Linked DNA regions of Diceros bicornis minor. The protein of the gene in region 2 purifies or fractionates together with the protein of the main gene of each other region. This does not show direct contact. Links are inferred from orthologs where the notes say so. Each region holds a gene or a part of one and is shown on either strand. Other genes may lie near its edges.

Region 1 (8,025 bases), on a different chromosome or scaffold from region 2:
CACGTGCTCTCACCTCTGCCTGGAACATCTTTCTCCTTTTACATCTCTATACTCCTACACCTTTCTTCAAGACTAGGGTCAGCTTTCAGCATCGATGGAGCCTTTGCCTAAGCCACCAGAATGAGTTTGGTTGCCTTTTCATTTTCTTCTGTCACCCTCTGCTTCTTTTTGCTCTTCTACACACATTACATGTAATACCTCATTTAATCCCTACAACAACTGTTTGAGGCCAGTGCTATTGTTATTCCAGTTATACAGATGAGAAAACAGAGGCCCAGATACATTAAGTAACTTTATTCAAAGTTATAGAGTGATTAAATGAAAAGTCTAGGTTTGAATCCAGGCAGGCAATCCAATTCTAGAGACCATATCTTGAACACCTACCCCACTCCATGCTCCACCCTTAGCCTCTGAGCTTGTTGAATGAATGAACAAGTGGTAATCTTTTTTCTCTGCCAATGCAGCATAAACCTAAACAAGGCCATGACATTCTCAGGGAAGAAGAAAAGTAAGTTTGGGGGTGATAATAAGAATAACCAACAAACTTTAAAATTTACAAAAGCTCTTTGACATACATCTTCTTATTTTATCAACTCATGAAATATATTATGATTCCATCTTACACACGGAAAAGAGCTGAGACTGGCATAACCAGCACTGGCATCTTGGGCTTCATATTTTATTTCTTCTGAGGTTTTGCCCCTTAGGTCTGAGATAATATGGAAGGGTAAATTGGGAGTGTGGTAGGTTCTTTAAGAGAAAAACTAGGAAAGCTTTCACACTATTATTAACTACATTTTATGCAAGATTTCTAATGGAGTATTGGGTCAATTTCCAGAACAAAGGGGCCACACCCAAGGATACCATAATCTTTTGAAAACTCTACTGCAAGTGCTAGAGCTAGTAGTAGACACATGTCTAAAACCTGTTCTTGGGAGAAGCCAAGCTCCATGTCTGCATATAATGCACCCAAGGGATATTTTTATATGGTTCCATCAGCCATCAATGTCCTTCAACAACAGTCTGATATATTGCATAAGGTTAAAACAGTTCTTTTTTTTTTTTTTTTGGTGAGGGAGATTGGCCATGAGCTAACATGTGTGCCCATTTTCCTCTATTTTGTATATGGGATGCTGTCACAGCACGGCTTGATGAGCAGTACGTAGGTCCGCTCCCGGGATCCGAACCTCTGAACCCCAGGCCACCAGGGCAGAGCGTGGAAGCTTAACCACTACGCCACCAGGCCAGCCCCTAAAGAGTTCTTGATATAGGAATCCATAGTTGAGTTTTAGACGAATTTCTGAATTCCCTGTAAGTTATATTCAGAAATGCATGTGCAAGGAAACACACTTTTTTAAAAAAATTATTGCATACTTTATTTTTTGAGGAGAGGGTCTACGGCTTTCAACAGATTCCCAAAGGGGCCTACTCACCCTGCCCCAAGATTAAGAACCATTATTTTAGTGATGGAAACTAATTTTGATCTTGGTCTAAAAGCCAGACATATTACAAGGGAAATCTGTTCCCTCCCTCCCATCAATACCTTAAGCTACATTGAAAGAATTTTATGTTCTCTACCACAGTTTGAATTTTCCATACCATTGTTGTCCAAATAATTGAGAGGTACCTGGAGGAAAATATAGATAGCACAGTAATGCACAGTGGATTTTTATAACAGATTTGACATCCCACCTGTTTTAATTGGCATCATTTTAAAAGCAATTGAAAGTACAGTCAGGTATTCTGGGTCTTCAAGAGATGTTAACCAGGGATTGAAACATAACTTTTAAATAGAGCTGGGTTATCTAGTAGGCAGATTAAGCATATCCTTAAGGCATCAGCAAAGCCTGAGTAATTCAATTTTTTTAAAAAATCTATATTTTTTTAAAAGTGTAAAAGTAATAACCATGGGAAAAATTAGAACCTTGTTGGATTTTCTTTCACTTGTTATGCTCTTAGTTCTGTTTAACTTTTCATTACATACGAGGGTGGTGGAGGGTGTCTATCATCTTTTCAGTGATTCAGGTCTTCTTGGGCTTCCCTTTTATATACTATTGATAATTCTATCAAAAGCATGTTCTTCTCTGTGCCTCACAACAAGGTTGCAAGCGAACCCTCAAAATGGATAATTTAAGAGCTAACTGGTATTAGCTTAGGATGTGTGGCACTGTTTTAAATGCTTATATGTACATCAATTCATTTAAAACTCACAACAGCCCTATGAAGTAGGGACCACTCAGCCCCCTATTTTATAACTAAGAAAATGGTAAGATTTTTCCAGTAGGAAGGAGAGGTGTAGGGGGAGGGAGAGGAGCAGCCCCAGGACAGTGTGTGAGCCTGGTCTCTGAATCACTATGCAACTCTGTCTCTAGAGTGCTAAGCACTTTTTCTGATCTAGGAGGGATTATTTATTAAGAACGGAGTCTAGGGAGCCGGCCCCATGGCGTACTAGTTAAGTCCAGTGCACTCTGCTTTGGCAGCCTGGGTTCAGTTCCCAGGCACAGACCTACACCACTTGTCAAGCCATGCTGTGGTGGCCACCCACATAGAAAACAGAGGAAGACTGGCACAGACATTAGCTTAGGGCTAATCTTCCTCAAGCAAAAAAAGAAGATTGGCAACAGATGTTAGCTCAGAGCGACTCTTCCTAGCCAAAAAAAAAAAAAAAAAAAAAAAAAGAATGGAGTCTATCTGAAAGTAAGACCAGAAACTATAAAACTCCTGGAAGAAAACATAGGCAGTAAGCTCCTTGACATTACCCTTGGAAATTTTTTTTTGGATCTGATTCCAAAGGCAATGGCAACAAAAGCAAAAATAAATAAGTGGGACTACATCACACTAAAAAGCTTCTGCACAGTGAAAGAAACCATCAACAAGATAAAAAGGCAACCTACTAAATGGCAGAGGATATTTGCAAATCATATATCCAATAAGGGGTTAATATCCAAAATATATAAAGAACTCATATAACTCTATAACAAAAAAAATCACACAATCTGATTTAAAAATGGCCAGAGAACTTGAATAGACATTTTTCTAAAGAAGACATACACATGACCAATAGGCACATGAAAAGATGCTAAACATCACTAATCATCAGGGAAATACAATCACAACCACAAGGAGATACCACCTCACACCTGTCAGAATGGCTATTATCAAAAATGACAAGTGTTGGTGAGGATGTGGAGAAAAGGGAACCCTCAGGCACTGTTGGTAGGAATGTAAATGGTGCAGCCACTTTGGAAGAGTATGGAGGTTCCTCAAAAAATTAAAAATAGAACTACCATATGATCCAGCAATTCCACTTCTGGATATTCATCCAAAGAAAATGAAAGCAGTAATTCAAAAAGATATATGCACCCCTATGTTCATTGCAACATTATTTACAACAGCCAAGATGTGAAAACAACCTAAGAGCCCATCCACCAATGAATGGATAAAGAAGATGTGGTGTATATAGATATATACACATGAAACACTACTCAGCCATAAAAAAGAATGAAATCTTGCCATTTGCAACAACCTGGATGGACCTTGAGGGTATTGTGCTAAGTGAAGTAAGTCAGAGACAGACAAATACTGTATGAGTTCACCTATATGTGGAGTATAAAAAAAAAAATACAAAACTCAGAGAACAGATTGGCGGTCTCCACAGAGGTGGGAGGCTTGAGACTGGACAAAACGGGTGAAGGAGACCAAGAGATACAAATTTCCAGTTATAAAATACATAACTCATGTAATGTACAGTGTGGTGACTATAGTCAATAATATTGTAATATTGCAAATTTAAAAGTTGCTAAGAACGTGAATCTTTAAAATTCATATCACAAGAAAAAAATTTTATAATTTTACATAATAACAGATGGTAACTAGACTTATCGTGGTGATCATTTCGCAGTGTATACAAATATCGAATCATTATGTTGTACACCTAAGACTAATATAATGTATGTTAGTTATACTTCAAAAAAAAAGCAAATGGAGTCTACCAGTCCAATGACCCCTTTGCCACTTTCCTCTCTGCTTATAGGCAGAAATCTCCACCATCCCTGTTGAATAGACCTCATCTTCTGGGGGTCAGCCCTTATACCAGGCACTAGTACCAGGCATTGCGCAAGTCTGGGAGACTCTCGCCTCCGACATCCGTTTTACACGTGTGTGTGGGGGAGGCAGGGGAAAGGCTGGCAGGCGGGCAGATTCTCCAAAATGAACGTTTGAATTAGGATTTCTGGCATTGTGGACCCAGCAGGAGAAAGCCAAGTGCTGAGTGGTGGAGAAGGGAGCATGTCCTCTAAAAGAAGGGAAGCCTCATAGTCATACCGTGATACCGACTCTCAGCCGTTTCTTCTGATTAAAAGAGGAAGCAATACTTTGCCTATACTTCAAACACCCTGGTTCGAACATGGCAGTTAGGAATCCTGTGCAGCTTTCTAATGCCAAGGGTTTGTACAGGGGAGGGAGGAAACGAGGGAGAATCTGCGCCTTATGAAGTGAACTCGCTCGAGCCCCGTGTGCGCCTGTGCTGGAGTGGGGAGCGCAGCGCGGGGAGGAGGGGCGCGGGGACGCGGCAGAGGCAGGTGGGGAGGGGCCCCGGGCGCCCTGCCCCCTCCGCTTCTTCGGGCTGCTGGCACGGATTGCTTCCGGCCGGTGCCCCCGGGCGAGCTGCCCACCGGTGACGGCAGAGGCCCCGCGCGGGGCGACTTCAGGAGATGTGACATCTGCAGCGTGTTCCGAGCCCAGGGCGCCTCCTCGGAGAACACTTGAACGCGCTCCCGCAGGGGGAGTCGAGGGGCAGAGTCGGGGGCCGGCGGAAGGCGGAGGCAAGAGGAGGGGCCGGCTGGTCACGAGAGGCTGGGGCGGGCCGGTGGCGCTCGGCGGCGGCGGGAGGGAGGGAGAAAGCGAGGGGCGAGCGTTGGGGAGCAGCATGGAGTCCTCCGCCGACAGGTTGGCCACCGCCGCCGCCCGGGGTCGGGCCGAGGAGGTGCGGGCGCTGCTCGAGGCGGGGGCGCCACCCAACGCGCTCAACCTTCACGGTCGGAGCCCGATTCAGGTGAGTCGGCGGGAGGAGGGGATGGGGGCGGCTATAGAGGACGAGGTTTGCAAAGGAGTCGGAGCCAGGTAAGCGCTTCGATTCTCGGTAAAGGGGAGACTTCCTGGAGAGTTTTCAGATGGAGTTTGGAGTCGGAGACCTCCTCTTGGCGACGCCTCGGGGGCTCAGGGAGCCACGGGAGAAATGAGGAGGCACGTGGAGTGCAGATCTCTAGACTGGACTGTAGATTTGGAGGGGAGAGCCTATTTGTGTTAATATAGACCGAGATGTGTTCTTTGTCAGACAAAATGTACGAACGTTTGAAATAAAACGCAAGATTTTAAAGAAATCTAAGATTTGCTGAGACTACTTTGCTCGAACTCACAGAGTCCTCAATGGAGCCTACCATCTTTCTTGCGAGGGGAGATTTCAGTGGAAATCTACTACTGTATATGTTGGAATAAATGTCCATTGGAATTATTCAGAAGCAACTACATATTGTATTTATTATTTTAACTGAGTAAGGAAAACATATGCTTGTGAAACTAGGAATTACAGACAGATATATATGAAGAAAAACATTAGTGTGACCTAGCCTGAAATGATATCAATTTAATTACCATTTTGGGGGTATCTCCTATTATTTTTGCTATTTTTAGCTTACTTGATATAGATTAACATATTTGGGGTAGAGTTTTCAATTCCTCATTTTTGAGAAATGCCTTTTTTCTCCTCCCTACCCTAGTTTTGTGTGTGTGTGTTGGGGGGAGGGGGATTGTGTGTTCTTGGTTGTTGTTTGCCTTCGCTAGCTTCCTAAATTTCAGACTAAAAACGAATTCTTCCTGGCAGTCGCCACCCTAGTTTTATTCTTGGTGTCGACAGTGATTTCTGATTCTGAAAAATAAATTTATAGGAAACAAATGCACGTTGCAAAAACTCCAGCATAACAAGACAAAGGAAAGTAATTCTATTTGGAACTTCACAAATTTCACAAGCGAATCTTCCTTTCCTAACTCTATGCTACATAGGATAAATTTCATACATTTTAAAATACAGAAATAAAAAACAAAACCAAAATGCCTTAAAACTTGAGATTGTTTGAGATTTGAAGTGTGGAGAGATGTTGAGACTAGAGAGGTTGCGTGAGGGTAGAAGTGAGGCATGAGTCCTTTAAAAATAAGGCACACATGATTCTTAATTTGATATCTCTAAAATTTTGCCAGCACCTTGGAGACTGGGAGTTTGGCCTTGCAGTTCTAGAATATGTTAGAAGAGACTTTATTTGTTTACATACAAAAAGAAAAAAGGAAGTTGGATAATTAGTTTTCACAATTTTTTAAATAGGGAAGATAAGAGCATAGAGAAAAGGGGACATGATTTTGGTTTAGAACACTAACCAAATTTGTGTTTAATATAAAAGTACTTAGTTTATAGAAATTACTAGTGAATTTTATTCTATTTTATTAATAGGTTATTTTAAATTATTAAATTAAATTTAATGTCTTATCAAATAGATTTAAGCACACTACAAATATTCATTTAATTGATTCATTTAATTTTTTGCTTTGGACTGCTATTATTATTATTTAAATATTAGGTTACTTTTCAGTCTTTTTTTTTTCAATTATTTTATTGAGGTCATAATGGTTTATAATGTGCTATTTCTTAGTCTTTAATACTGTAAAACATAATAAAAACTTTTAAAACCAGTTTTATGACCAAGATGAAGGACTTCATTGTATAAATTTTTTTTTATCCAATTTTCATTATATTTTCACCTGCATTGTATACAGATATGGAGATTGACCTCTTCCAAGAACAGGTTTTAGACATGTATATACTAGCTCTGCCACTTGTAGTAGAGCTCCCAAAAGATTACTCACTCCATAATCGATTAGAAATCTTGTGTAAATAAGTAGTTAATAATAGTGTGAAAACTTTCCCAGTTTTTCTTTTAAAACAGTGCATTGTTCTAATGCAGTACAATAGTTTTTCTTTCTTTCTGTAGCTGTAATTTAGTTCATTTACATCTTCTCTCTGTCTTTTTGAAAATTAAATCAGTTTCACTTTCTCCAGGACAAGAATCAACAGCCATAGTATAATTTATTATGATTCCTTGCTTTCAACAAATTAAGCAATTCGTATTTAATACAGAATGAAACTAAAAATAAGTACTCTCTCTTTATACAGTCACTATTGTACAGCTAGTATAACCAAATAATGGTTACCCTAAAAAAGAATTTTCTACCACCACCACCCACCATGCAACGCTTAGATTGCAAGGTTGCTGTGGACACTATTTAAAAATTCCTCTTTGGTAATGGCTTTGTGTCAGAGATAATTGAGCAGCTAAATGAGGTGAGCACCTCCAGTTTAATGAACTTCCAAGGTGTAAACTTTAGAAATGTCTTAATTTCCTATTTCTGCTGTAACAAATTACCACAAATTTAGTGGCTTAAACCAACATAAATTTATTACCTTACAGTTCTGGAGGTCAGAAGTCTAAAATGGATCCATAGGGCTGCATTCCTTTTGGAAGTTCTAAGGGAGAATCCATTTCCTTGCCTTTTCCAACTTTTAGTAACTGTCAACATTCCTTGGCTAATGGCCCCTGCATCTTCTTTCTGACCTCTGCTTCTATTCTTATATCTTCTCTCTGACTGTGACCTTCTTATAAGGAGATTTGTGATTACATTGGGCTCACCCTGACAATCCAGGTTAATCTCTCTCGAAATCCTTAATTTAATCATATCTGCAAAGTCCCCTTTGCCATGTAAGGTAATATATTCATAGTTTTTGAGTATTAGGAAGTAGATATCTTTGGGGGGCATTATTTAGCTTACCATAGGAAGGAATTTGGGGGCTGGTTACACAGACCTTCTCATTTTATACTTGAAAAAATTGAATTTTAACATTCCGGGAAGCTAAGAGTAGCTTAAAAGTTTTGCAAGAATTAACATTTTGGTGTTCTGGGGTTTTTAAATTTTCATTTT
Region 2 (7,661 bases):
AATGTTTGTCTGGCAACTCCTTGCAGGGCCACCTAGAGAATATGGCCAGAGACAGAATTTTTGATAAGATGGGCTCGTTGGTGCCTTCCTATGGTAACATCTGTTTTACATTGTATTACCAGCATCAGATAGTAACTCCTTCCTGGAACAGGTCTTCTATGTTAAATTCTTTAGGCAGTTAGTGGGGGAGGTCAAATGTCTGTCAGAGAAAACAATCAAGGTAAAGAGACATATTTCAGGGTGGCCAACTCTTGATCTCCCATATCCTACTGCTTCACTTTCTTGCTCACATTTTTCTAGCTTTGGCTAGTGGGAGCTCTTTCAGTTGCCTCCTGTAACCTTTGACATACCCTCACCAATGTGGATGTTTTTATTTTTGAGCACTTCCTTACTTTCTTACACTACAAGATTCTCCCGGCTCATCTTGTGTATTTCCTGCCCCAGCCCTACAGTCAGATATTTCTCCAAAGAGGAGTCTTGCATTTTCTTTTATAAGCACAACACAGCTCTTTGGTTAGCTACTCCAAACATGAAACCTGTTCTTCAATATCTCATTTGTTTTAGTTTACTAGAAGCAAAAGGTGGAAAAATATTTAATAAATGATATAACCAGGAAATGCAAATTCCTAGTAAAGATTTAAGAAAAGATGATTCAGATTTAGTATATAGAATATAAAAATGAGACAAATTATTTGAAATCATAAATATCGCAGCAAAATCAGGGCTCTTTGGATTTTATATCTATAAAGGAAGCTTATAAAGACAGCAAGTAGTTCTGGTTGGACTCCTCAAATAATTAGTACAGGGAGATTATGAAATGAACTTGGAAATTTTTGAAAGAAAAAATTATGTATACTCACAAATAGAGAATGAATAGAAGTGGATATACTTTGTTTACCGATTTATGTAATGACATTTTAAGATTTCTACTTAAAATATTTTTCATTAATTTTCCTCTTTAAATACTAATTTATAAATTACTCTGCCTGACTAAAAATTATTTATGTTCTCATAAAGATCAAAATCAGGAAGATTTTGAAGTAGCTGGCTACAAAATAGCATATCTATAATATGACCTGATTTGTGTCAAAATATTTAATAATATTCATAGAAAATATCTTGAGGAGTATTTATCAAGCTACACATGGTTATTTATCTCTGTAATATTGGTAGTTTTTTGTTTCTTTTTTACAAAAAAGCATTTATTACTTTTGAAGTCACAAAAAATATAAAGGAATTCAATAAACTTTACACAAAGCCAAAACACATTTTTAGAAATATATGTAATTTTTTCTAAAAAGTAAAACAAAGAAAAGATTCATGGATAAACTAGAGTTTGAAGTTTGGTTTGGAGGTAAAGACCAACCATTGCTTTAAAGTGGTGGCTTGAAGTGTTGGCCAGAAAGGAAACTTTTTTTTCTTGAAGGAAGTTGCAATCTCAATTTAATGTTAGGGGCTTGGATGCTATAACTTTTTTAGAAATGTCATTTCCCTATTATATAGGTTGAATAAGTTAGGAAGAGGTGAGAAGTCTCTGAATTTAGAAATAGTGGGGTGTTATGGCCATTCATGCTTGGCACCCTTTGTGCTAGTCCACATCTCCAGCTAGAGTTCAAAAGGAAAGTGGTGAGAGCGGATGCAGTTCATGAGTTAGAGCAGGGGTTCTCAAACTTTTGGTCTGTGGACCACTTTACACTCTTAACAATTACTGAGGAACTCAAAGAACTTATGCTTGTGTGGGTTATATGTATCAATAGGTACCATATTAGAATTAAAAAGAGGATTTAAAAAGCCCTATTTATAAATTAAAAAATAATAAACCCAAACACATTTTAACATAAATTGCAAAGTTTTATGAAAAAAAAAACATATCTTCTAAAATAAAAAAAATTTAGTGAGAAGAATGGCATTGCTTTGCATTTTTGCATATCTCTAATGTCTGGCTTAATAGAAGATAGCTAGGTTCTCCGTGGTTGAAGTACATGAAGAAAATAGGAGGCCTTAGTAGGAGAATTTAATGGTCTTTTTGGATAACCGGTGTGTATTCTTCTCTGATACTACAGAAAATTTGACAAGTGGTAGTTTCTTAAAGATTAGTTGCCATGAGGAATCTGAAACCATATCAAGTCACCTGTGTACTCGGCTTTTTTTGTGTGTGTACACACACACACACCCCTATCTACCAATTGGTCTCTCTTGTATTTTGAATGGATCTTTTATCCATGTGTGATTTTATAACATCCTGCATTGGTCATTTGGAAAATACTGTTTTATTGTGTCATGTAGATCTTCCATATGTTGACATATCTCATCATACAATATCAAAAAGTCATATTCATTAATAGCACTACAGTCTCATCAGAAAAGTCTTTAAGCTATCAAGCTTATAGTGGTGAACACAAGTTACCCAAATTTTCAAATTTCACTTGAAAGCTAAATTTTATCATTGACAACAAATACTCTCAGCTGTCTTGCTTGAAGTATTAAGCTCACTTCATTCATTTTGGAGAAATATTTGTCAATTACCAAGTCAGAGTAACATTAGTTTATCTGTTGTTCTTTCAAGGAAAAATGGTGTTCCATGACAAAAGCAGCTAGGTCAGCTTGCAACTCAGCTACACAAATGTTTTTCTTCAAGACAACCATCCTACTTTGGTATGGAGCTAAAGTGTGTACTTCCCATTTCTTCACACAGAATATTAGAAAGAGGTGTACTCACGGCTGAAATTTATAAAATTAATACTTTTTACTACTTCATCAAGGATATTCCTAAATAGATATTCTAAAAAACTGGTTTGGCAGTGTGGAGTGGAGTGTGTGGCAGCAAACAATACTGTGATCCATTGACCACTGGGACAGTTTTGTGCAACCCTCTTGGTTCCCGCTAAGGCAACTTCAGGGGTGTTACTACTGCTTATCACCATAAGTGTAAATGTGATAAAAAAGATAAAAAACATGTTGTATCATTATGAAGATTGTTTTTAACCTTGGGACCCCTGGAAAGGTCTTGGAGATTTCCAGACATCTGAGGACCACACTTTGAGAATTGTTGAATTAAAAAATGGAAAACATGGGGCTGGCCTGGTGCCATTTAAGTTTCAACGCTCTGCTTAGGTGGCCAGAGAATCTCGAGTTCAAGATCCCAGGCGCAGATCATCACACTGCTCATCCAGCCATACTGTGGCGGGGTCCCATATAAAGTAGAGGAAGATGGGCACGGATGTTAGTCCAGGGCCAATCTTCCTCAAGCAAAAAAAGGAGGATTGGCAATAGATGTTAGTTCAGGGACAAGCTACCTCACACACACACACAAAAGATGGAGAACATGTGAGAAAAAAGGTCATATAATGGAAACAAACCATTGAACTGAATTTAGTATATAATAACTTTATTAAAATAAAGTGTACAGACTTCAAGTGCCATGAGAAGGAGATAAGAGATTGCTTCTTAAATCTTAAAGAGTGGTGGGATTTATCACCTTAGGAGACAGGATTTAAGTGGGCCTTGAAGGATCAGTACAAATAGTCTGAAGAAAGGGTTGGAAGGGAAAGTCTTGCTCAGAACGTACAAATGAAGAACAAGACTTTGACCACTGAGATATGAAAGACAAATAAGGAATAAAGCCAGGCTTTCGTTCTCTTGTGGTTCTGTGTAAATGAGGAGATGACTAGTAAATCTATATTTTCATCAACATGACCAAATTGTAAGGGAGGAAAACCCTTTCCAGGGATATGATAGTGCTGGTGGTGGGGAATAAGTGCTCAAGACTGTGAAGAGAAGTTCCTTTAACGAAAATACATTTATGTATCATTATTTGTCTATTGATTAAAAACCCACTAGAAAAGGAGTCTGTCAAAGGGAAAAGCAGTTTTGCTGATATATTTTTGATCATTTGAAAAGCCCATGGAAGCGTGTGGCAAGGAGGCTGTGGTGTCTCAGAATATTCACGTAGCTCTGAAACAACTCACAGGAAAATACTTTTGTTGAAAACGCCTTTCTGACACTTTTCGTCAGCGAGTAGCCGCCAAACTTGGAGGGCCCTGACTACAGCCTGGCGCTTGCCTCGTTAACAATCAGCACCGCACGCAGCCCCTTTAGAGACTGCTCCCCGAGGCCTTTCGCCATGCACTAAGCCGGGCTCCCTGCGCTTGCCGTACGCGGACCCTACCACTGCTAGCGGAGGGGGGTTTGGAAGTGGCGGAAGGGAGACCGGAGGGAGGGTGTCAGGGAAAGCCGGCCGCCCGGAGAACGGCCGTTTCACGGACCCCGTAACCAGCCCGTCCTCCCCTCCCCCTCCCCACGCCACGTCCCGTCCGGGAGCGGCGGCGGCCTTGGCTTTGCGGCGTTCGCGCGCGGTGGCAGGTGAGCGTCGGGCGCGCGGGCTCCCGGGCTGGGCTCCCCCCGCGTCTCCGGGCCGGTGGCGGCGGCCGGCGGGGAGGCGGCCTCGGCGCACAGTAATGGCAGCGCTGTGAGCAGGGGACGCGAGCTGACAGCCGCCGCCGCCGCCCACCCTCCTCGCCGGGGCTTCGTCCTTCACGCCTTCGGGCTGCCTCCCCCTCCCCTTGTCCCCTGCCCCTTGTCCCGCTTCTGCAGCAGGTAACCCCGCTGAGGGTCGGGGAGCCGGGCTGCAGGCGCCGGGAAACTTCCCTTCCCGGTTCATGGGTGGCGAGGACGGGGCGGAGGAAAGGAATTGGGGGCGAGGAGCGGGGAGGGGGAAGGATGCAGGGGGCGGCCAGCGAAGACGGTGTCCTGTGAGTGACCCCGGCTCCCTGGAGCGCTGACCCCTGAGCCCGGCCGCCCCCTGGACTGGATCCCGGGCCTCCCCAGCCCGGCCTTGGCCGCCCCTCCCTCGGCCCCATTTTCCTCCGAAGGAGGGAGGTGAGAGTGCGTGGACTCCTCTGCTTATTTACGGGCTCCCACGGATCCACAACTCTGTGTGTCTGGGTTGGGGGTGGGGAGGAGGGCATCAATTTCTTACATCCTTACCACGAGTATTTTCACTTTTGTTTCCGCCGACAGGGAAGATTGATAGCTTTGGGGAGCAGTATCCTAAGGGCATCCGTCTCAACACTTAGGATCTGTGAAATAAGAGCCTCAGACTCTCTTTAGAGCACTTAGTTACACACTGGGGAGTCTGGACCATCCCTACCACCCCACGAATGCGTGCATGTAAATAAAACATCTGTGAATTGCAGGCTGTTGTTATTGTTAAATCCTCTCTTTTCCCCCATGGATTACTATTACCAGTAAAAGGGCAGCACCTTGGAAGTTTAAATTTTGAAGATAGTAAGATATAAACTACTGACATTCGCTGTAGGCTAACTTTACAATATAAAAATCTTTGAAAGAGACCTGTGCCAGACCTACATTCATAGTAAAATATGGGAAATAATCACCTTGTTCTGATTGATTACTGACTACTTAATAGACATTTAAAAACACTTAAAAGCCTGTTCCCTTCCCTTTAAAATGTCACATTCTTTTCCAAGATAGACAAATGAGCAAAATTGGTTATACTTGGCCTGTTTTGCCCAAATACAGTGTTTGGAAGACTCTTCCAAAAGAGTCATAAATGAAATAACAGATGGACACAGCGTTTTGAGTTATCCTTTTTTTTTCAGATGCTGTTTATAAGTTGGGGGAACATTTCTACACTGTGGGTGCACATAGTGTGTGAAAAATGCCTTTTCTTTGTATTTGAATGTGTCCGTGCATCTGAAGTACTCTTGGTTCACTCTCCCCCCTCTCTGATGATTTTTGGTGTTTTATAAATGTGAAGATAGTTTATCCATGTCTTTTATCCTCACCCATCTGTCACTAAATTAAATGTTGTGGAGCTTCTTTAAAGTCAGTTTTGCCTTATCTATCAGTTAAGTATTTATCAAGCACCTGGTTCGTATGCCAAGCATTGTTGCAGGCATTTAGGGAGACAGCAGTAAACAAGACACACTGAAATTTCTTCCCCCCTGGAGCTTTGATTCTGGTGGGAGAGGGAGAGACAGACAATAAATAGGAAATAAAAATATTTTCAGAGAATCACAAGTGCTATGAAGGAAATAAAATAGAGAGTTATGGTAGTGACTGGGAGAAGACTACTTCAGATGCTGTGGTCAGGAAAGACATGTCTGAGGTGACCTTTGACCTGATATCTGCGAAGGGAGAAGGATTTAGCGTTTGGAAGTCTGAGGGAAGAGTGTTCCTGTCTGAGAGAACAGCAAATGGAAATGCCCAGAGGTGGTATCGAGCTTGGGTTCAGCGAATGGGAAGAAGTTCATTAAAGGGGCATCCTAGTGAGAGCTAAGTGGGGAGGTCCTAGCCAGGGGCCAGGTCATGTGATGTCTTACTGTCCAAAGGAGTTTGGCTTTTATTCTTAAAGTACATTGAAAAGCTATTGGAATTTTTGTAAGGCTGGGAGTGATGTGGTCTGACTTAGAATCTGACTGTTGGGAAGATTGGGTAAGAGGAGAAAAGAAAGACCAGTCACTACTCCTCTCAAAGCTGACTGAGTAGAGTAGTGACTGGAGTCAGTAAAAGAGATTTTGAGATATGTCTGGAGTTAAAGGTATTTACTGAACTTGTGGTTTGGCTGGGGGTGCAGTTGGTTGGGACAGGGGTGACTCCTGGGGTTTTGGCTTCAACTGGAGGATGGTGATGCCATGTATTGAGATGGGGAAGACGTGAGGGAAGCAGGTTGTTAGGGGGATAGAACTGGATTGGACGTGTTAAGTAGGACCTATTAGATGTTCAGGTAGAGGTGAGAAGTAGGCATTAGATATACAGGTCTGGAGTTTAGTGGAGAGATTAAGGAGTCATTCATTCATTCAACAGTTATTTTTCAAGCACCAGCTATGAACCAGGCAGTGGGGATATAGCAGTGAAAAAATAGACAAAAATCTCTGCCTTCAGGAAACTTAGATTCTAGTGAGGAGAGAAAGAGATGGAGAGTCATCAGCATTTATTTGTTGGTTTATTATAATTATATTTTGAATAAAAATTACATTCACATGATTCAAAATTTAAAGTGTGATGGGGGTATAGAATGAAAATCTCCCCTGTTTCTTGTCCCCCGTCTCCCAGTTTTCGTCTCCCAGTTTTCGTTGGAGCCAAGCAATGTTAGAGGTTTCTTACGTATCCTTCCAAAGATATGTTTTGTGCACATATAAGCAAATATGTATATATTCTCTCCACTCTGCAAAAGTGGTAGCATACTTGACCTGCTTTGACACCTTGTATTTTTTGGAGTATTAAATAGTATTTAAAAGTTATGAAACATGATGAGACCACCTAAAGAAAGAATGTAGAAAGAAGAGGAGAAAGCTCTGGGGCTCCGCAGCCTTTTCTGACTTGGTCCTGCCCGCTTTGAGTTTGGGACCAACTCTACATGGGATGTAGAGTTGTTAGAGTTGTTACTTTTCCTGAGACTTTTTTCAAAAGTTTGCACTGTTTCTTTTGTGTTCCACCTTTCTTATCTGCCTGTTCTCTTTATATACTGGAGAAATGTTTGATCGTGATTGAAAGCAGTGGTTTCATGTCTGTACTGTCAGTTGAATTCAGGCAAATTGACGACAGAATCAGCCCTTGAATCTTAATATTTTGAAGACTTTTGACTGGCTAGTGTTAAATCTTGGGAAAACAAGCAGAAATTTGGAATGTTATCATGA
Region 3 (8,394 bases), on a different chromosome or scaffold from region 2:
AGGAACTATTCCTGATACTCGGGGTGTGGACCACTTGTGAGTATCTGAAGGAGGTGAGAGAATGGGCCAGGTAAGCAACCTCTGACATTCCCTCCTAGACTCCGGGGTGCCCTATTCCCAGCCCCCTTGGACCACACCATTCCCAGTCCCCTGAAGCACCATTTGGCAGAACACAGCCTCTCTGAGACTCATACTCACTGACGTCAAAGGCATAGAGCACATTGCAGGCCCCTTCAGTGTCATTCCGCCCGCCCCAAAGGAAGACTGTGTCGTCGATGAGGACGGTTGAATGTCCATATCGCATGTAGGGTACCACGGGAGCCTGCCCACGGATGGCGGGTCTCACCGGGGGCAGCTTTGTCCAACGCAGTGACACTGTGGGCACAACTCTGCTCAGCCCTGGGAACATCTCTGGAGGCTGTCCACCTTCTCCCAAACCAGATATTCATTCCCCCATCCCCTATGGCCACCGAGACCACCACCAAACCTCATTCAGCCGCCCGTTCCCCTCCCTGACAGGCACCTAAGGATGGTCTCAGCATTAGCTTACCTGCATTGAAAATGTGCACATCAATCTGACGTAGTGTCTCATAGTCTTCACCAGAGCAGTAACCCCCAAAGGAGTATACCCGGTGCCCGACAGCCACAGCAGCATGGTTCACCCTGCGGGGCCCGCCCTCCAGGTGCACTGTCCACCGTAACATCCCCTGGGCCACTGGTTACAGCAACATGCCCCCCCGGCACGGCCTGCTGCCTCTGCTACCTGCACACAAGTTAGGGCCACAGGCTCCTCAGGCAAGGCCTTTGGCTGGCTCACCGTGCCTCTGCCCAGGGCCAGCCCTTGCCTTTAAGTGTCACCCTGGTGGCCCTCCCACACCACCCCTCATGGCTCAGTTGCCTGGCCCTGCCCCAGGGGAGCTGCTGAGGTCAGGGAGCTAGCCCTGGCTGTGTTCGCCAACAGCAAAGGGTGGGGCCCCTCCGACCTGACTGCCAGCTCAGAATCTGCTGATCAAGGCTCTCAGGGTGGTCACCCCCTACTCATGGAGGCTCCACTCTGTCCCTGGCCTGGCACAAGCTCCAAGCCCCCTTCCCAGGCCAATGTGTTCTCTTGTCTCTCTGGCTCTGCTCTGCTTACTGCCACCTCTCTAAGAATCTGTGTGCTCTTTAAGGTGGGGAGAGGGATCTCAAAATACTCAGAGCTATTAATAGCACAGCCAGCCCCAGACAGTCCATTGAAAGCTGGCATGGGTGCTTCCAAGCAGAAAAGCTTTTAGGCTTTTAGACTGGAACAGTCCCTCTATCGAGGACAGGGTGGGGTTGATCCAGGACAGGGGCCTCCATGTTACCACGGGTGGTTAGCCCCTCATAGGGAGCTCTTGTCAAGCTGAGCTGCTGCCATCGAGGTCACCCAGGGCCCCTCCCAGGCACGAGGAGTTCCTTTGACAGCTGTGCCTGGTATGCTGCCAAGACTAGGAACTTAGCCAGAAAGGTATGTGTCTGCTGGGGACTGAGGGGGTGGGGGTGGGGAGGAGGGATTTTCTTCTCCTGCCGCTTCTCCCACCCTGCTATTGTGGTAGAAAACAAGCTGTTTCCAGCAGCAACTCTCCCACTTGGGTCCCTGACAGGGCGGATGAGGTGGGGGTGTGCATTGGAAAGGGGAAGGGAAGCACAAATGACCTTGGGCAGGACAAGAAAAAGACCTAGGCATGAGAGGTCACGGTCTCTTAAAGACAACTTCTCAACCTAGTGATAATGGGTACATTTGAAGGCTGTCAGGCAAATCCTCCTGCAGCTAGCACTGCCTTCCTTGGCAAGCACCTGCTGGGTTTGGGAGGATCATCTGCTCTGTGTTCAAGAAGACATGGCAGAGGGAAGAGCCAGAGAGAACCTCAGGGACAGAGAAAGCTCAAGTAAGGCAGGCCCCTTGCAAGAAAGAGATATGGCTTTAGCTGGCTTACCAGCCACCCCTAACCTCCCTCAACCCTCCACCCCATGCTTTAAATAGCCACCCTGCCAAACCTGAAATAGCCCCAGTAGGAAACCACTCTCCCTTCACTACTCCTGACCTCAATGCAAAAGATCTTGGATCTGGGCTCATGGGGGCACATACGAGGTTGAAGGGCTTAAGAATGGGAGTCCTTCATCTTCCCTCCTAGCTTCTGCTCCCCCCTTCAGCTATGTCAAGGTAAAGAATTCACAGAAGAAAAGACAAGCAATTCCATCCAAACGTGGAGAGAATCTCAGCTTCTCTTCCATAAGGACAACTCAAGCTCATGGAGGACAAGCCCCCAAGGTCTCAGGGGCTCCGTTTATCTCTGGGTCTCCGGGATCCTCCATCATCGGGGCATTCTCAAGCTTCCTCAATTCCCTTCATGTACCCCCCTCCCTGGTCTCTCCCAATTTTCACTCCCCATTTCTGGCCCTTCTTGATCTCCTGAGAGCTCTGCAGTTTTCTCCTTTTTCCTTCTCCCACCACTCCAAGCTCCACGCCGACAGCCCTCCATTTTCCCTCTTCCACTAAGGGAAAAAAAACTAAGATTCATTGACCCCTTTCGGCCAGAGATTTGCCTCCCTGTATACGACGCTATCCCTGTCTTCCTGTCATCCCAACCTCCCCTCCCCCACAACGCCAGCCCCTCCCCCGCTTCTTCCATTATCTTCAGCTTCCCCGTTCTCCTCACAACCCAGTCTTCCTCCCAATTTCCTTCAGTGCCTCCTCCAGCCACCAGGTCTCTCCCACCCGTTTCCTCACCATCCTCCCCAGCCCTTCTTTCCCCATTAACACTCTCCTTTCCCATCATCCCCCTAGATCCCTCTCTACCCCCACCCATCACCCTCAGGCCCCTCCCCCATGACTCCAGCTCCCGGCATGAGCGCCCCCAGCCCCTCCAATTTTCCTTGTTCCTCAACCCATCCCGGGCTACCTGCCAGGCCGGGCCGGGGCGGGGCCGCGGGGCCTCGCGCTGCCTGCAGCCTAGAACCGGTTGCGCGCCAACCGACGACTCGGTCCCCAACGAGATAAACACAGCCGGGCTAGGTGCCTCGGGCGGGCCCGGTGTGCGCACGTGCAGTCAGACGAGAGCTCGAGGCCTCCCGGGACCTGTAGTCCACGGGTTTCGGGAGGGACGTGACGGGCAGAGGGGTGGGCAGGGGCAGAAGGAGAGTCCGCGTGTATCCAGCTCTGTCAAAACGGGTTATTGGGTAATGTAGTCCTTTGTCGTCCGAGCAGAGGTTGGCGGAGGCGGGGCCTCCGGCGGTCCGCGTCCTCGCGCGCGTCAATCATGGGCACGGGGCGGGGCTGGAGGACCGAGCGTCCCCGCGCGTCCTGCCCCGCCGGAAGTGAAGGCGCGGCTCGGCCGCGGGCTCGGAGCGGGTGAGGCGCGCGGGGGTACCGGCGCCGAGGGTCGGTGGGGGCGGGTAGGGGCGCCGCAGCTGGGGCCATTTGAGGGGAACCCCTGGAGCTTGAAGGGCGTTTGTCAGGCAGTACAGAGGGGACCCCTTGGGAAGGGGAAAAGGGGGCGGGTACGCCCTGTCTACGGGAGCTTGTTTGGCGATCCGGAGTTTCCAAGTCGGGGGTGAGGAGGGGGTTCTGGAAGGAGTGTCTTTGGGTACGTGGCGTGGCCTCCCGTTGGACTGTTATTAAGCATTGGCAGAGCAGAGTGGGTGGGCCTCCGTTCAAGATAAGAGCCGACTTAAGAGGTGGAGGGCCCAAGAGAACTCAGGAGAGGCTCGGGTGGGGTGGTGTGCAGGAAGCTTGGGGGCGTTTAAATGTTTTGTGGACGCAGGAGGAAACCACAAGGAACTGGATGAGAAGCTGAAGGTGGACCTGATTTCATCCGATCCCTATCCTCCCTCCCCGTTCTTGCAGCCCCTGCCCGGATGGCAGCAGTAGTTCTAGGGGGAGACACCATGGGCCCTGAGCGTATCTTCCCCAATCAGACTGAGGAACTAGGGCCGCACCAGGGCCCTACAGAAGGCACTGGGGATTGGAGCAGTGAGGAGCCTGAGGAAGAGCAGGAGGAAACAGGGGCAGGCCCAGCTGGCTACTCCTACCAGCCCCTGAACCAAGATCCTGAACAAGAGGAGGTGGAGCTGGCACCAGTAGGGGATGGAGATGTAGTTGCTGATATCCAGGATCGGATCCAGGTATGGTGGAGGAGGCATTGTTCCTGGGCAGGTGAACCTGGGATCCCTGAAGGGCTGGCCTTAACTGTCTTCTCTCTGGCTCTGCAGGCCCTGGGGCTTCATTTGCCAGACCCACCATTAGAGAGCGAGGGTGAAGATGAGGAGGGAGCTACAGCATTGAGCAACCACAGCTCTATTCCCATGGACCCAGGTAAGAGAGATCATTCTTTCATTCTGGAATAATTACAGACTGGCCAGAGCCAGAAGAGGGAAGTCACAGAGGAACACCCTGTTCCTAAAACAGCAATTTGTAATCTAAGATTTTGCAGACTTCAGAATCCAGATGAAATGCTATTCTGCTAGACTTGGAGGACGGGCAGGCTTGCCTAGAAAAAAGATGGATTTGGTGACCTTGCTGGCCCAAGGGTTCTGGGTTAATTCAAGGAGTGGGGAGGGGAGCTGGTCTCATTGTTTCTATCCCTAACTGGTCCTTGCCTATGGTTTCAGAACATGTAGAGCTGGTGAAAAGGACGATGGCTGGAGTCAGCCTGCCTGCGCCAGGGGTTCCTGCCTGGGCTCGGGAGATATCAGATGCCCAGTGGGAAGATGTGGTACAGAAGGCCCTCCAAGCCCGGCAGGCTTCCCCAGCCTGGAAGTGACCACCCTGAGAGCGGCCTTATCTCTCTGCATTCCAGGCCAGAACCAGCACCGGACTGAACACACATCCCTGGTTGTATTGTCCATCTCCATCCTCCCCACCTCCCTTTCCACATCAAGGCAAATCAGACTTCTCAGAGACCCACTTTATTCAGTTCTGTACATACGGGGACATCGGCCCAAGCCCAACCCACCTTAGCATGTATCACTCTGTGGAGAATAAAGCACCCTATGTACACAGCCAAAAGCTGCACTGCCTGTGCCCCTGGAACCTGGGTCTGGCCCTCCTCAGCCCCTTGCCCCTCCTAGGTGCCTGAAAGGGACAAGTGAGGGCCTGCCCAGCATCAGCACAAACAAAGAAATAAATAGGTGTTGAGAGGAGCTATGCTTGGGGCACTGCTCCCTGCTTCCTTCCTCCTCGCTTTGGGGACCTACAGCACAGGAAAGCAGTCAGCCGCAGGGTGGTCCCTTCCATGTCTGTGATCCCAGGGCTGCTGCTCACCAAAGGGGGCACAGGGTCGGGTGTTCATTCACCCCCTTCTCTTGGTCCATCTGGGCCCTGTATTCATCACCTACTGTCCATTTGACCTCCCACGTTGTCTTGGTCAGGCAGGGGAAAGAGGAAACAATACAACCCCATCAGCCTGCACACTGCTGGGGCTGGGGGCCTATTTGTGCTGCTGGGGGTTGGCTCCCCTCCAGCTACTCACTCCAGGGGCCAGTGGGGCTTGGCATAACTTTGGTGAGAATAATCTGCTGCTGCTCCCAAATGCTTCTGCAGGGGAGGGAGAGAAGGAAAGGCCCCTGGAGTTCAAATGAGGATGAAGGGAACGGGAGAGGAGCATATGTATTCGTCTGTTTCTCAGAGCAGCCTCAGGGGTTAGGAGCAGGAGGGGGACAGGCATCCCCGAATTGTCTGAGCACTGAGCTTCTCAGTGCTCAGCCTGTCTACTAGCCACAGGGAGGCATGAACACATTTTGGGGAGAAGAGGGACCACTCTGGGTGTCCCTGCTTCAAGTGCCGCATCCCTCTCCCTGGAGTAGCTCAAGAGGCACTGCCTTGCCCCAGGTCAGCCAGTGGGGAGCAGAGGGTGGAGGGCCAGGGCAGCGTCCCAGGGCTGAGTGGGCGGTGGCCCTGTGATGGGAAGGTGAGGGGGTCAGAGAGCCTCCTGGCTGGCAGTTAAGAACTCTTCCGCCCGCTTGTGCGCCTCCAGCGCCTTGATGGTGTACACGTCCTGGGGCAGCTCTGACTTCCGCCGAAGCAGCACTTTCTCCTTCTTGATGTCCTTTAGCATCTGTGTGTGGATACGGAAAAGGCGAGCAATGGTGACCAATTCCCAATAAATTCTATTATTTCTTCCCCTTATTCCTTGGCTCTGCTGCAGCTGTCTCCTTTCCCTTCCAGATCTTTTATTTCTGCTCCCCCTTCCTCTGTGCCCTCCCACCTGCACGGCCTCTGTCTCCACCGTCCTCTTCAGAAGCTGGATGTCCTCTGCCGTGGGGGTCTCTGTCTCCATTGAGTACACAGGAGGCAGTGGTGGAGGAGCTCGGAACATGGGATACTGAGCAAGAAAGAGGCACGGACAAGTGGTGAGAGCCACTTCAGAAGTCTGTGAACCTGTCTGCTTCATATTCTGCCTCAAACAAATCCTCCCCCAGCCCAAGATGGGCCCCTCAGTTCAGGGCAGTGGCAAAAAACCTCACCTGGGGATTAAGTCGGGCCAGCTCCTCGATCTTTTGCCACATCTCTTCCCTTTCCTTCATTCGGAACCGGCCCCTGAGGGAACAGAGAGGGGATTGGGGTTGGGCTTAAGAGAGAAGCAAAGGGGGGCTTGTGGTAGAAGGTGAAAGCCCCTCAAGTGGAGAGAGACTCACTTCTGCTTCTCTGCCTTGTATTGTTGTGTGCAGTCATCAAACAGCTTCTGATTCATCTCCATAAACAGCTTCAGGGCGTTGTAGATCAGTCCATGGATTGTCCTGCCACCAGGAAGAAAGATGAGGTAGAGGAGGCCAGAGCCTGCCCTTAGTGCCAGGACCCTAATCTGCTCTCTCCTAGGAGGTGTCTCTGCTAAGAGCTTTCTCATTTTCTGCTCCCATTGCACAAACCTCTGCACAGTATAAGCTCATCTCTGGCCAAATCATGTGACTTGAGGTTGGCATTTCAGGGTCTTTACAAATACTGGTCCACCTGTCCATCCTTCCCCACCCCCACATTTCCTACGCTCTAGCCCACACTGATGGCCTCCCAGCAGCACACTGGACCACATCTGCACCCCAGGGCACATGCTTTTAGCAGGAAAGCCTTTTTACAGCGCTGGGATTCAGCACCTACTAAGAAGATCATATCGGCTTCTCACAGCGTGGAATTAAGTCTCCAAAGCTGCAGGATATCTGACGGCAGGCAGAGATGTAATATAGGTCCCTGCTTTGCTGCCTGGTGTCACAGAGATCTCTCACACAGGGATCCTGTCTCCCAGTCAGGCCCTCAAGGGCCTATCACTGTGCAGTGGGCACCAGCCCCACTTGCTGAGCGACCAGGTAAGAGCGCTGGCTCTCTAGCTCTTCCACACCCTCACAGGTTCCAAACCCAGAGGCCCAGTGCCCAGCCCCACCCCAGCCCCCTACTTGTTCCAGTGGCTCTTGGAGTTCCTGTAGAGTGCAGGGAACATGATGGGGAGGACTCGGGCAGCATTGTCACTTATCAGGCTCATGATGTACTCATTGTTCCAGTAATAGAGAGCACGCTCTGCCACCTGGTGGGGACAGGTGGCACTCATTGGGGATATGGCTCGCTTGGCTGAAGACCCTCCTCAGTTTCTCGGAGGCAGGGGTGGGAAATGCCAAGTCTGGGTCTTACCTGGAAATGGGGGCTGGAGACACACTTGGCAAGCTGTCGGAAAAGTGGTTCCATCACTTTGCTAAACTCTGAAGGTTCAATGACATCCAGAATCTCCTCTAGCTCATTCAGGAACATCACCTCCTTGGGGCTGTGGGTCTTGGGCCAGAACTTGAGAAGTCCTACAATCACCTGTGAGAAGAGGAGGACATGGGGATACAATTCTCACTCAACACCTGCCTGGTTTTCCAGGAAGCTTTCCTGCCCTCTCTTCCCTACCCTGGTGGGCACAGCGTGGGTGGCCTCAGCTAACTGCTCATGTTTCTCTGGCCTGGATCTGTTTCCTAGGTGTATAAAGGTTTTACTTCTCCTTCAGAGAGGAAACCGTGTCACCCATTGGGCCACACCCATCCTGAGCACCTGCTTACGGCACTGCTCGATAGGTGCAGACTGGCAAGTGCTGCCGACAGGAAGAGGTGCACCCTGGGGCCCGGAAGGGGAATTACCGGCTCAGTGAGACTGCTCTCCTTCTCCAGGAATTGTACCACGCAGTATGCCAGCTACAAAAAGGTGAGGTAGAAAGGAGATGAGGTGCAGGGCCCAGGTCTCAGGTCAGAAGAGCCCAGAATGGAAGAGGAGATCTAGAGAGGAATTATCCCACCCACTCCCTCTGCCACCCCCAACCCAGCTGGAATACCTTCCCTCCCCCTCTTTTTTTTTCCCCTCCTCTTTTCTCTGCTGCCAGAGCTGGAGATCATCAGGAGGAAGGCAGCTCA

Evidence for each region. Proteins that work in one complex are often made in the same cells at the same time.
Region 1: the proteins of CUL2 (region 2) and cyclin-dependent kinase inhibitor 2A-like purify together in Homo sapiens (affinity purification with western blotting; 3 studies listed by BioGRID, with this or other methods). This does not show direct contact. The link is inferred for Diceros bicornis minor from reciprocal best matches to the Homo sapiens genes CUL2 and CDKN2A.
Region 3: the proteins of CUL2 (region 2) and kelch domain-containing protein 3 purify together in Homo sapiens (affinity purification with mass spectrometry; 5 studies listed by BioGRID and IntAct, counting the BioPlex papers as one, with this or other methods). This does not show direct contact. The link is inferred for Diceros bicornis minor from reciprocal best matches to the Homo sapiens genes CUL2 and KLHDC3.

The regions. Positions count from the first base shown.
Region 1 is NC_080761.1:44,432,118-44,440,142, reverse strand, and holds the start of cyclin-dependent kinase inhibitor 2A-like, read left to right. Parts: upstream 1-4,891; 5' UTR 4,892-4,927; coding exon 4,928-5,053; intron 5,054-8,025. UniProt on the Homo sapiens protein: Acts as a negative regulator of the proliferation of normal cells by interacting strongly with CDK4 and CDK6. This inhibits their ability to interact with cyclins D and to phosphorylate the retinoblastoma protein.
Region 2 is NC_080775.1:32,877,033-32,884,693, reverse strand, and holds the start of CUL2 (cullin-2), read left to right. Parts: upstream 1-4,250; 5' UTR 4,251-4,362; intron 4,363-4,466; exon of another isoform or gene 4,467-4,596; intron 4,597-4,751; exon of another isoform or gene 4,752-4,878; intron 4,879-7,661.
Region 3 is NC_080753.1:22,654,708-22,663,101, forward strand, and holds the start of kelch domain-containing protein 3, read right to left. Parts: upstream 3,135-8,394; 5' UTR 2,925-3,134; intron 764-2,924; 5' UTR 705-763; coding exon 551-704; intron 376-550; coding exon 199-375; intron 45-198; coding exon 1-44. Other genes in the region: MEA1 (male-enhanced antigen 1), read left to right, coding at 3,880-4,146, 4,234-4,336, 4,633-4,784; PPP2R5D (serine/threonine-protein phosphatase 2A 56 kDa regulatory subunit delta isoform), read right to left, coding at 5,940-6,077, 6,228-6,344, 6,487-6,559, 6,658-6,759, 7,408-7,535, 7,640-7,810, 8,125-8,178. UniProt on the Homo sapiens protein: Substrate-recognition component of a Cul2-RING (CRL2) E3 ubiquitin-protein ligase complex of the DesCEND (destruction via C-end degrons) pathway, which recognizes a C-degron located at the extreme C terminus of target proteins, leading to their ubiquitination and degradation.